Callithrix jacchus: one gene and its partners. The protein of the gene in region 3 interacts with the protein of the main gene of each other region in a biochemical or structural test. Links are inferred from orthologs where the notes say so. Each region holds a gene or a part of one and is shown on either strand. Other genes may lie near its edges. The genes, in order: SH2D1A, TXK and ERBB3.

Evidence for each region.
Region 1: the proteins of ERBB3 (region 3) and SH2D1A form a complex in vitro, tested with the Homo sapiens proteins (2 studies listed by BioGRID and IntAct, with this or other methods). The link is inferred for Callithrix jacchus from reciprocal best matches to the Homo sapiens genes ERBB3 and SH2D1A.
Region 2: the proteins of ERBB3 (region 3) and TXK form a complex in vitro, tested with the Homo sapiens proteins (2 studies listed by BioGRID and IntAct, with this or other methods). The link is inferred for Callithrix jacchus from reciprocal best matches to the Homo sapiens genes ERBB3 and TXK.

What each region holds. Positions count from the first base shown.
Region 1 is NC_133524.1:120,100,259-120,104,008, forward strand, and holds the start of SH2D1A (SH2 domain-containing protein 1A), read left to right. Parts: upstream 1-1,344; 5' UTR 1,345-1,432; coding exon 1,433-1,569; intron 1,570-3,750.
Region 2 is NC_133504.1:145,712,207-145,715,956, reverse strand, and holds the start of TXK (tyrosine-protein kinase TXK), read right to left. Parts: upstream 2,256-3,750; 5' UTR 2,247-2,255; coding exon 2,153-2,246; intron 1-2,152. UniProt on the Homo sapiens protein: Non-receptor tyrosine kinase that plays a redundant role with ITK in regulation of the adaptive immune response. Regulates the development, function and differentiation of conventional T-cells and nonconventional NKT-cells.
Region 3 is NC_133510.1:63,588,244-63,591,993, reverse strand, and holds the start of ERBB3 (receptor tyrosine-protein kinase erbB-3), read left to right. Parts: upstream 1-866; 5' UTR 867-1,012; coding exon 1,013-1,094; intron 1,095-3,750. UniProt on the Homo sapiens protein: Tyrosine-protein kinase that plays an essential role as cell surface receptor for neuregulins.

The DNA of each region.
Region 1 (3,750 bases), on a different chromosome or scaffold from region 3:
TTGCTACCAGCTATCACTGAAATCTTAGAGGATTTTTCCTAACCCTAGTCGATGAAGAGCAAATATCTGCCTTTGGTGCAAGTCAGCTCTGTACCTGCAATCCATTGGTAAGACATGTGAGGAATTAAGTATTGCTCTCCCTATTGAGCTCCCAGCATTGCCATATTCTCAAAGAACTACACGCTGAAGTTGCAGAAAGCATATAATAGATCACATAGCTTCAGTTATTTTAATTCCAATTTTACAAGTACTTTGCATAATCTAAAGGTACATGTATAAGACCATTCAGCTTCAGCAATAAATTCTTACTCTAGTGAAAATGCAAGAAGTTTTGGGGAAATATTACCTAGCACATTTTGAAATAGAAGCAATGCTTTATTTCAGAGAAGAAAATGGAGGTTGAAAGGTTTTAAAATATTAAAGACAGTTTAGCATCAATCGAAGAAATAACATTGTTTAGAAACAACAGACAATAAAAGTTACAACAAAATTATCAACGCTTGCAAATGATTTAAAACAGATTTTTTGGACAAAATGCTGAAAGGTGGGCCTTATACACCAAAGGGCACATACAAATTTGCATTAAGACAAATCACCAGTTAAATGTTACATTGTCTCATCTAAAGCCCATCAAATACTTAAATCTGGAACATCTTTGGATGTGCATTGTGACTTTTGTATCTCAACTAGCACTTTGGGACCTTGGACAAGGTGTTAGGAAAGAAATCAATATTGGTCAGGACCAAGACTTCTCAAGATGACTGCATGAGGTAGAAGGAAGAAGGAGAAAAAGAACTTGCCCAAAGTTCACTGTTCATCTGCTATGTCTGATTCTGTAGGAGTCTTCATGGCCGTGTTCAGTAATGATTGCATAATGACAGTACTAATAAAACTATTAGTGTTTTGTTCTCAGAGCTTTTGGTCCTTTCATTCTGTCAGTATGTTTCTGCCCTACATGATGGGTCCACATACCGACAGAGACATGTATAACTTGCCTCTATCATCAACTCCTTACCGGCTGGTTGAGCTAAGTTATTCCTTGTGGCCTCTGAGTAATCTGCAAGAACAGAAGCATTACTAAGCATCCCTATCTGCGTGCAAGGGTGTGTGTTGGCAGTACAGCTCAAATCTTGCAAAATCCTTCTTCTAATTTTCCTCCCCTCTGTAAGAACCCTGTGTTGGGGGGCAGGAGATGGAAGCCCTTGGCAAGCTCGATTAAACCAAGCTACTAAATTGCTGAGCTGGTTTTAATTGAAGTGTGAGAAGGAGGTTTAAGGCAAGTAGACAACATCCTGTTGTTTGGGTGCCTCTCTCTTTTTTGCACATCTGGCTGAACTGGGAGTCAGGTGGTTGATCTGTGCCTGGCTGCAGTAGCAGCGGCATCTCCCTTGTACAATCCTCCTCCTCGGCCTGCCCGAGAGTCCACCAGGCCATGGATGCAGTGGCTGTGTATCACGGGAAAATCAGCAGGGAGACCGGCGAGAAGCTCCTGCTCGCCACTGGGCTGGATGGCAGCTATTTGCTGAGGGACAGCGAGAGCGTGCCAGGCGTGTACTGCCTGTGTGTGCTGTGAGTATTCTGTGGCAGGCAGGGGCCTGCTGAGCATGTGGATGGTGGGCACTGGCAGCTGAGGCCAGGGCAGAGGCTGAGGCGGGCAAGGGTGCTGGCGTTAGCAGCTTGCTGAGGCCTTCTTCATGACCCACCCTCAAGTCTAGTCCAGGGCCGTGAGGGAACACACTTTCGCCTGAGTCCCTCGCTGGGGATTTCATTCCCTGGGCCTCCTGCTCTCCAGAAGGCCCTCACCAGGGGCTTTTGGGGCAGCTGCAGAGAATGCCCTTTAGGGTGGTGAAATATGGTCTAAAGTTTACCTTTGCTCCAAGAAAGACCCAGGCTCCCAACTTCCATTTTAACTCCTATCGGGTGGCTCCGTACTCTAGCTCTCTTTAAATGACTTTTGAAGTGTCATCCCAAAGAAAGAGCATGACATTCAGAGAGAGGAGGCAGATTAAGAAACAGTCAATTACTTTAAGAATGCAATGCCAGTTAGGTCAAGATGCTGAGAGAGGAGGGGGATGTGTGAAAGTAAAATCATCTCTCTGGATCTGCTGATGTAGCATTCTTTAGAAAGGTAGTGTCTGTGAGGGGTGGGGCAGGGGATTTCAGAAATAGGATCCTTCTTGATAAACATTAGGACTCACAGTAGTCTTAAAGGGAATGGAGGGAAAACACCCTTGTTATGATTCAGCTTTGCCCTTTGCCTAGGCATGTCTCAGTCTAAGGCTTCATTTTGAATCAAATTCACCTGTGTCGTTGCTCCAGTGCTCCAGAGTCAGGCAGATCTGAGATGTAGTCCTGCGCTAGTCAGATGTTAGTCTTGTGACCTGGGCAAATTAACCTTTCAGTCCCCCAGTTTTCTTATCCATTGAATAATACTAAAGATATATTATTATTATTATATCTCCTCTTTTCAGTTGATTTCTTTTAGGAATCATGGGGGCATTTCTAAGGAAGTACCTAGCTAGCTCAAGCATTATTGTCAGCGGAATAAAAAAATCCATGAAAACAACAACCCTGCATAGTAGGTTCTAGACAGAAACCAAATGAGGTTAAATGCTTGGTAGTAAGTTCAGCATCTGATGATACACTACAAGAGTTTGAAATACCTTATGGGTCAGTGAAGAAAGATGATCCCGATGCTGGTGTTAGAGGATTTTCACTGTATATTGGTTATTAAAAATGGTCAAGCCTTGTTTGTTGCAGCTCTCCTATCATGCTCTAAATACATTTTTCATAAAGGCTTCAAGGGAAATACGTGGAAGCTATTGATTGTCTTGGGCTTGAATCTTTATGTTTTGCTTATATCATTATTGTTTCCATGTGGAACCTAGGGAAGGGCAAAGAAAACCAGCTGGGATTCTTAGGCTCTTTTCTCATTGAAAGAAGGTGCAGTGGGCAGGTGAAAGGTACTGCTTTAGGGAAGCTGACAAAGGAGATAACATGCTCCTTAACCCAAAGGTGAAAAAGAAAGTACAAAACAAGTCTGGGCAGAGGAGGGACAACAGGGTATAGTGAGAGTCAAGATACACCTAAGGCTTCAGCCTCACTGGGCTCCTGGCCATTTCTCAAGCTCCTAAAAAATGCCCCCACTTAGGATTTCTGCACTTATTGTTCACATGTTTGTTCAACTGTCTCCTCCCTCAGAGAGGACTTGCTTGACCACTACCTAGAACAACTGCTCTCTCCCTGTCCCTGATACACTCGCTCCATCTCTACTTTTCTTCAAAGAGCTTTAAACTATCTGATAACTTGCTTACTTACCTACTTATTGCTGGACGCTCCTGCAAAAATATAATCTCCATGAGGGTAGAGACATTGTCTCCATCACCAGGAACACAGAAACACATAATAGGCACTCAGCAAATATTTTTGAATCAACACACTGTCAAGGCAAATTCTGTTCTTTACTGTAAGAAACTGAATGGACATCGATGGGTTAGGGTGTGGACTCTGGGAAAGTCACTCAAATTCTCTGGGTCTCACTTTCCATATTTATAAAACAGGAATAGTATTGTGTATCTTACCTTCTGCAAAAGATTGCCTTCAGTACAATATATAAGACAGAAGGACAACTTTAGCCTTTTGCCTGTGTAGGCCAGAACCACATAAGGAATTAACTTAGGCAGATGAGAAATTCTCAAGCATTTAACTTTTTGCCCAAAGTGAATCTTGCATAAATGCAGTTTTTATGAC
Region 2 (3,750 bases), on a different chromosome or scaffold from region 3:
TCGTCATTTAGAATTAAAATCAAAGACAGTATTTTCCTTCCTTCTCTGCACAATAAGGCCCTCTGAGTCTTAGAGGTAAATGAATAAGTATTTCCAAAACTGAACATGGGACCAAATAATCTTCCAAAGCAACTCCCAAAATAAACTTCTGAAAGCACCTCTTATGTTTATTGTTTCTTAATATTTTGTTGCAAGGTGAGCAAAAAGGTAGTTGCCTAGGCGAAAGGCCAGGAGACCAGGTTCTAGTTCTGGATTTTGTCCAGCCTTTTTGGATCACAGTTTACAGCTTAATATGTGTGTGTGTGTGTGTGTGTGTGCGTGTGTATATATACATACATACATACATATATATACATGTATATATATACACGCACACACACACACACACACACACACACACATATATAAAAGTTTAGATATATATAAAAATAAGCTCTCTTCCTTTGAGAGAGCTTCCACGCCAGAGAGAATAATCCTCAAAATACCACACCAATAGGTAGTCCTTTATTTAATCTTTTGGGCAGTCAAATCCTTATATCCTTGTGTGTGTGTGTGTGTGTGTGTATGTGTGTGTGTGTGTGTGATGTATAAATATATCTATACACACACACACACACACACACACACACATATATATAAGGCAAAAGGAAGAGAGCTTAAATCCCTAGTCTGGCAAATCTCATGCTTGGCTGGGTGTGGTGGCTCATGCCTGTAATCCCAGGATTTTGGGAGGCCAAGGCAAATCATTTGAGGTCAGGAGTTTGAGATCAGCCTGGCCAACATGGTGAAACCCCATCTCTACTAAAAAACAAAAATTAGCCAGGCATGGTGCGTATAGTCCCAGCTACTCGGGAGGCTGAGGCAGGAAAACTGCTTAAACCCAGGAGGTGGAAGTTGCAGTGAGCCAAGATCGTGCCTGCACTCCGGCCTGGGTGACAGAGCAAGACGCTGTCTTAAAAAAAAAAAAGTATCATGCTTCTGAGTCTGACAACCATGTGAGTTTTGGGCAAGATTTAAAATTTCAAAGGCACAATTTTCTCACTGGCTAGATAAGAATAACAATTTTCACCTCACTAATTTGTCATGAAGATTTCAGATAATGAATATAAAGGATCATGGCATATAGTAGGTGCTCAATGAATACCTTTATAAAGAAACACACATATTACAATTATGTTATGATGGCTGCCTTCTAATTCAGAAGACTATTCTAATTCTTTCTCTTTTTTTCTAATTTCTTTGGATTTATAAACATCTCCACAGCTCTTTCAAACCAAGGGTCTTCACAAATAACAGTGTCTAGGGAATCTTTATTCTTCTAAAATAAGTACTTATTTTTAACAGTGGTCTTATATTCTATAAAAAATATTTAAAAAACATCTTCATGTGTAATATTATATATGAGGGAAAGAGACATTTAAGCCAGTGTTCACCCTTGACCATGTTCATACTCTTAACTACGTGGAGACTCATGACTTTGATTTTTATTTTGGCCTTTACTCAGGCTCTGACTGCAGATAAGAATCAGTTTTGCCTAAATTTCAATTGCTTGGGAAAGATCCTTGATGATGGATGTCTACACAGAATTGTGAATAAATGCTCCTGTGAACATAAGGTTAAGTCTATATGTTTATGTGATAAAGCAGATAATTTCAGAGTATAAGCACAGCTGTGTTTTAACTTGTTAAATATAGTTTTATTTATATAGATTAAACGTATTATTAAATATAGATATTTATTTATTTATATGTGTGTGTGTGTGTATTTACATAAAGTTGCCAACTGATCCACCATTGCTAGAGCAAACCCAGAACTAGAACTTGGCCTCCAGGCCCTCAGCCCAGAGTTCACGAAAGTCTCATTCTAAAAACAAGTACATCACACCGACTGCTTTCTACGCACATCTGTAGATTTCTGGACACTCTTTTTGTTTTGTTTTTTTCATTTATATTCTCAATGCTGAATCTTTATTAGAATTACATCACCACCACGGTTCGTAAGCTCTGTCACAACATCTGAGGAAATTATCTTTAAATGTTCCCAAGCTCTATACCTTAGCAAAATACAAAAAACAGAAAAAGTCCTCTGCTATTCAAGAATAATAGGCCCAGAACAAATCCCGAAAATAAATGACAAAGCCCATCTTACTTACAAGAGGAAAGGATCATGGCAGCCCCTTCTGCGGGGAGCACACAGAGCACACAAGTCTTCAGTTCTTCTGCGGTGCTCCACTCACAAAAACACATCTTTCAACTGAAATCATAGTTCACCAAAGATGTTTCTCACGGGCAGAGTTAACCCCTCCTATTTTCCTGTTCTGAAAACCTCAGAAGCGTATAAATGACAACCAATGGCCTATATAAGAAAGCTCAGTAATCTACATCCCAATCTCTGAGGGTGTCTGCTATTAGTCTCATCCCCAAAGGTGTGGGTGACTCGCAAACATCATTTTCAAGAAATCACAAAATTTTGGTAAAAGGCACCTTTAAAATCATCAAGTCAAATTGCCCTCTCTGGACTGGAAAGGAAATGGAGGCACAGATACACTAAGGGACTTACCCAAGGCCACACAGGGAGTGGCAGAAACAATTAAATTCTAGGCTCTGGAATATTGAGTTGAGAATGTTCCATCCTCCCACTCAGCAGACACTTTATGTAGGGGAAGTCAATCTAGTAATAACCCTAAAAGGTGACTGGGGCATGGCTGAGAAATATAAAAACAACAACAATACAAAACACACTTGGGAGTTTCACTTCATCCCATTGGAAAGCATAACCATGTGTTAACGAATGAAGGGAACGACTTTAATGAAGACACAGGGATATTCTCACCGCCCTTCCCACTTCCTGTTTAGATTAAGGTTCCTTAGCATTCTGAGTGATGACTGTTATTTTTACTTCAACTTTTGTATAAAAACAGTTTTTAAGTCTTAGTAAAAAATATTTAAAGATTGTTGAATCTTTAAATACTATGCAGCCATAAAAAAGAATGAATTCATGTCCTTTGCAGGGACATGTTTGGAGCTGGAAATGTTGCCAGGAGCTATCTATCTTGTTTTTCCATCAACAGCATACATTGACCATTAGGGCAGGGACTCCATCTTCTCCTCATTCTCTTCCATACCACCCAGTACTTCCCATAGCTCCTCAAGGTGAAAAGGGAAGTATGGGATGGGAGGAGAAGAGAAGGGAAGGTGAGGAAGAAAGGAGAAAAGGCTGACAGTGATAGTAAGGTAGAGTGTACCAGGACTGACCCCTTGAATGAGCTACAAGTCAGTTAAAAGTTGTGCACGGTTAGCAAAGACATGGAATCAATCTGAATGCCCATCAATGAGAGACTGGATGAAGAAAATGGGTATATATACTGGAATACTATGCAGCCATAAAAAAGAATGAATTCATGTCCTTTGCAGGGACATGTTTGGAGCTGGAAGCCATTATCCTCAGCAAAGTAATGCGAGAACAGAAAACCAAACACCACATGTTCTCACTTATAAGTGGGAGCTAAACCGTGAAAACGCATGGACACAGGGAGGGCTGATGAGGGGAGAGCATCAGGAAAAATAGCTAATGCATGCCAGGCTTCATACCTAGGTGATGGGTTGATAGGTGCAGCAAACCACCATAGCACACATTTACCTATGTAACAAACCTGCACATCCTGCACATGTACCCCGGAACTTAAAAAAAAAAATTGTGCATGTTTTTGTGATGGGAGTACAATGAAACAGGTAGATAAGAAGGAATGAG
Region 3 (3,750 bases):
GGACGGTGTGAGCCTATCTGGGTCCCCAGAAGAGCGGCGGGAACTGCGGCCGCTCGGACGGCGCCGCCGCCAGACTCGTGTGGAAGGGGAGGCAGCTGTTCTCCCAGGCGGCCGTGGGGGGCAGCAGAGGGGACGGCGACAGGTGCGGGAGCCCCTCCCGGGGTAGAAGTGGAAAGGCGGGCTCCGGGGTCTGTTCCCAGGCTGGAAACCGCCCCCGCCCCCCATCCAAATCCCCGGGAGAGGCCGGGCCGGCGCCGGGTCTGGAGGAGGAAGCGGCCGGAGACAGTGCAATTTCACGCAGCCTCTGTGGCTCGGGTTCCTGGGCTGGGTGGATGAGTTATGGGGTTTCGAGTCTGGGAGAAACTGAGGTGGCCCAGACTTGAGGCAAAAAACACCCTCCCCCTCAAAAACACACAGAGAGAAATATTCACATTCAGAGAGAAAATCCACCAAGTGAACCAACCGGCTAGGGGAGTTGAGTGATTTGCTTAATGGGCGAGGCCAACTTTCAGGGGGCAGGGCTTCGGAGCGCTTTCCCCACCCTCATTCATTACCCTTCCCTGGATCTGGGGGCATTTTGGAATCTCGACCTCCCCTTGGCCCAGCTCCCGTAGAAAAATTAGGGCGAGCCCCATCCTCGATCTGCTCCGCCAAGTTGCGGGGCCGCAGGGCGTGGCGCGGCGCGCTCTGGGCGGGCGGTCAGAGGCTCCGCAATCCCTACTCCAGCCTCGCGCGGGAGGGGGCGCGGCCGTGACTCACCCCCTTCCCTCTGCGTTCCTCCCTCCTCTCTCTCTCTCACACACACACACACACACCCCTCCCCTGCCATCCCGCCCCTGACTCCGACTCCGGCTCCGGCTCCGATTGCAATTCGTAAACTCCGCCGCTGCCGCCGCCGCAGCCGCAGCCGCCACCAGTTCGCTGGCGGCTCAGGTGACTCTCGCCTCGATGTCCTAGTCTCGGGACCCCCGGGCCGGACTGGGCTGGGCTCCCTTCACCCTCCGCCGCAGTCATGAGGGCGAACGGCGCTCTGCAGGTGCTGGGCTTGCTTTTCAGCCTGACCCGGGGCTCAGAGGTGGGCAACTCTCAGGCAGGTAAGCGGCGCGGGAACACCGGCGGGCTCCGCACCTGGGAGCCCGAACCCAGTGCGCGCAGTCTCCGGGGGCAGGAGCAGGGTCCCAGGCGGCGCGGGGTGTGGGTGCTGCCCCGGGTCCGCCGGGACCACCTGGGAATGGGGCGGTCGGGCTCGGGTTATCGGCGTGGTCCGGCCGAGGGCGGCATTCCTGGACCCTCAAGCCCCGCTTCCCCAGAGCGTCGCCGACCCTTTAATTGGTCTCCCCAGAAGATGCTGAGGCTGAAACAGTAGTTCACACTTCTAAGGGGCCCTGCAGGGAGCGGATCGGAGACCTTTATTCTGTAAACAGGAGGTGCTTGGAGGTGGGGACCTTGGCGGAAGGGTCTCGGTTTGCTCTCCAGCCTCCTACCCCCTACCTCGCACCGATTTCAGCCACCCCTAGTTTCGTTGTTTTGCCGACAGGGCGGAGCTACACAAGGTTGGAGGGGGTTGTTATTCTCTGGTGTTGGAAAAACAGGAGCGGCACCTCCTCTTCCGTGAGCGAGCCTGCCCTGGGGAGGTCTGAGATTAACCAGAGGGCCAAGTTCAGGTGACATCAGGCGGGAGGCCCAGCAGAGGCTGGCGCCCGCTTTCCTCAAAATAGTAGAGCTTGAGCAACGTCTCTTTGTCGAGACCTAGGTCAACGCAACTCATATTTACTGAGCATCTACTATGTACCAGGCCCTGGGCCAGGAGCTGTAGGGGCGAGGATGCCCAGCCTCTTGTCTTTTCTCTCCCCAACCTGAGGATCAAGAGGGCACCTCTGCTACTTTTTAAGCCTCCTACCTTGGGGAGTCTATCCTGGGCCCAGCTTGTGTGCCCCCGTCCCCATTTTGTTTATTGTCTGACACTGTCTCTAGGACCCTAGACAGACCCCTGGATTGCTCTTCTCTAGTCCTCCCCCGACTCCCATGCTATCTGAGCCCACTCCTTTGGGGTGTCTCTGGGACCCTGGACACCTGAGGATTGAAGTCCCGTGGCTCTCCTCCCCTCCCTCCAGATCCCAGCTTGGGGTTTGGCACAGCCAGGGCCCCTTCCCCAGTGTGGGAGTGGAAGAAACCACCTGTGCTTCCCCCACAGTTGCTGGGCCTAAATTTAGAGTCTGGGATTTTGAGATGTGAACACTCCCAGCTGGTGGAGGGGGGTGGTCTGGGGACTGGCGTGGGAGGGAGCAGTGGAGTGACTGTATAACTGTCCCATCCAGACCCTGTAATCTTCACCCAGAAACCCAGGAGTACTAGATTCTGGCCACCCTCCCTGGGGAGGCAGGAGGCAGGCATGGTTGGGTCTCTTTACCCTTTATCTGGGTCCTGCAGCCTCTGGGCATCCGGCCCTGTCCCAGTCCTTCTATAGCCCCTTTGTCCTGGCTGTGATGGGGGTGGGGGATGTTGGAGGGGAGGCCTCTGCATGAGGAGGGGCTGGAGATTCTGGCTCTGTCCCACCCCCAGTGCTCTCTACCAAAGGAGGGCCTGTGACACTGCCCCTCCCTATGCTCCCAGTCCCTGGGTACCACAGGGATTTTTATGATTCCCTCCCCTGCCCTGCTCCCCAGCTTGCCTGGCTTCTCCCCAGAGATGTTGTTTGTGCTCCCTTATTGCCCAGGCCCTTTGCCCTCTGTCTGTGTAACATGGACTTTACCCTTAAGGTAGCGGGGAACTGGGCTACCTCTTAACACTGTAGCCTTCCAAGCACAGACACAAAATCTGCACAAACACTTACGGGCACGTGGGATAGATAGGGCCACCTGAAATACTTCCTGCAAGGAAACCCAACTAACTCTAGGTTTCTGGGCCAGCAGGACTAATGTGTACATGTTCGTGTGTGTGTTGTGTGCGTATGTGTGTGCCCGCATTACTACTTCCTTGTGCAGAAAGCTTGGCTCCTCCTTATCTGGGGAGAAGGGTTGGCACCATAACTTGGGAAAGGGGTGTCCTGCCAGGAAGGGGGTTGGGGTGGGGCTGTCCAGAAATGACTAACTTTCCCAGTCTCTTTCATTTCAACCCAAGGACCAAGGAGTTCCCCGCTCCTCTGGAACTAGCTCTCTTTGGTGGAACTAGCCAACCTTCATGGGGAGTGATAAGGAGGTCAAGAGGTCAGACTAGGGGTGTATGTTACAGGAGGGATTGGGGCCTCACCAGTCTCCCTCCCTCCATTCCCACTGAGCTACCACCGCCTCACGGAAGGGTGGCTGGAACAGGTGGTATCTGCCCCCTACTCCCCACCACACACACATGGTCTTTCACTGAACCAGAAGAAAGAGACTGGGGTAGGGCTTCAGAATCCAGGATTTCCCATAGCCCATTGTCCACCACATTTGCAAAGAAGAGTGAACTCCCAAGGCTGACACGGCTCACGTGCCTCTAGTCTAGGCTCTCGCTTAGTGGGGGCTTGAGCGTACTGCCTTGGTGAAAGCCTTTTTCATGAATCTCTTCTAACAATGAAATTGGGTGGAGGCTCAGTGTGGGACATCTGCTACTGTTTCTCTCCAGGCTTCTCTCTATTTGCTGAAAAATACTCTAGGGCTGGAAAGTGATGCCGAGGTTGCTAGAGTGTGTTGGGATGGGGGAGAGAGTGAGAAGGAAAGCCTGAGTTTAGGAAGGGGGGGAGGCAACCAGCTCCTTATCTTCCAGTTTTAA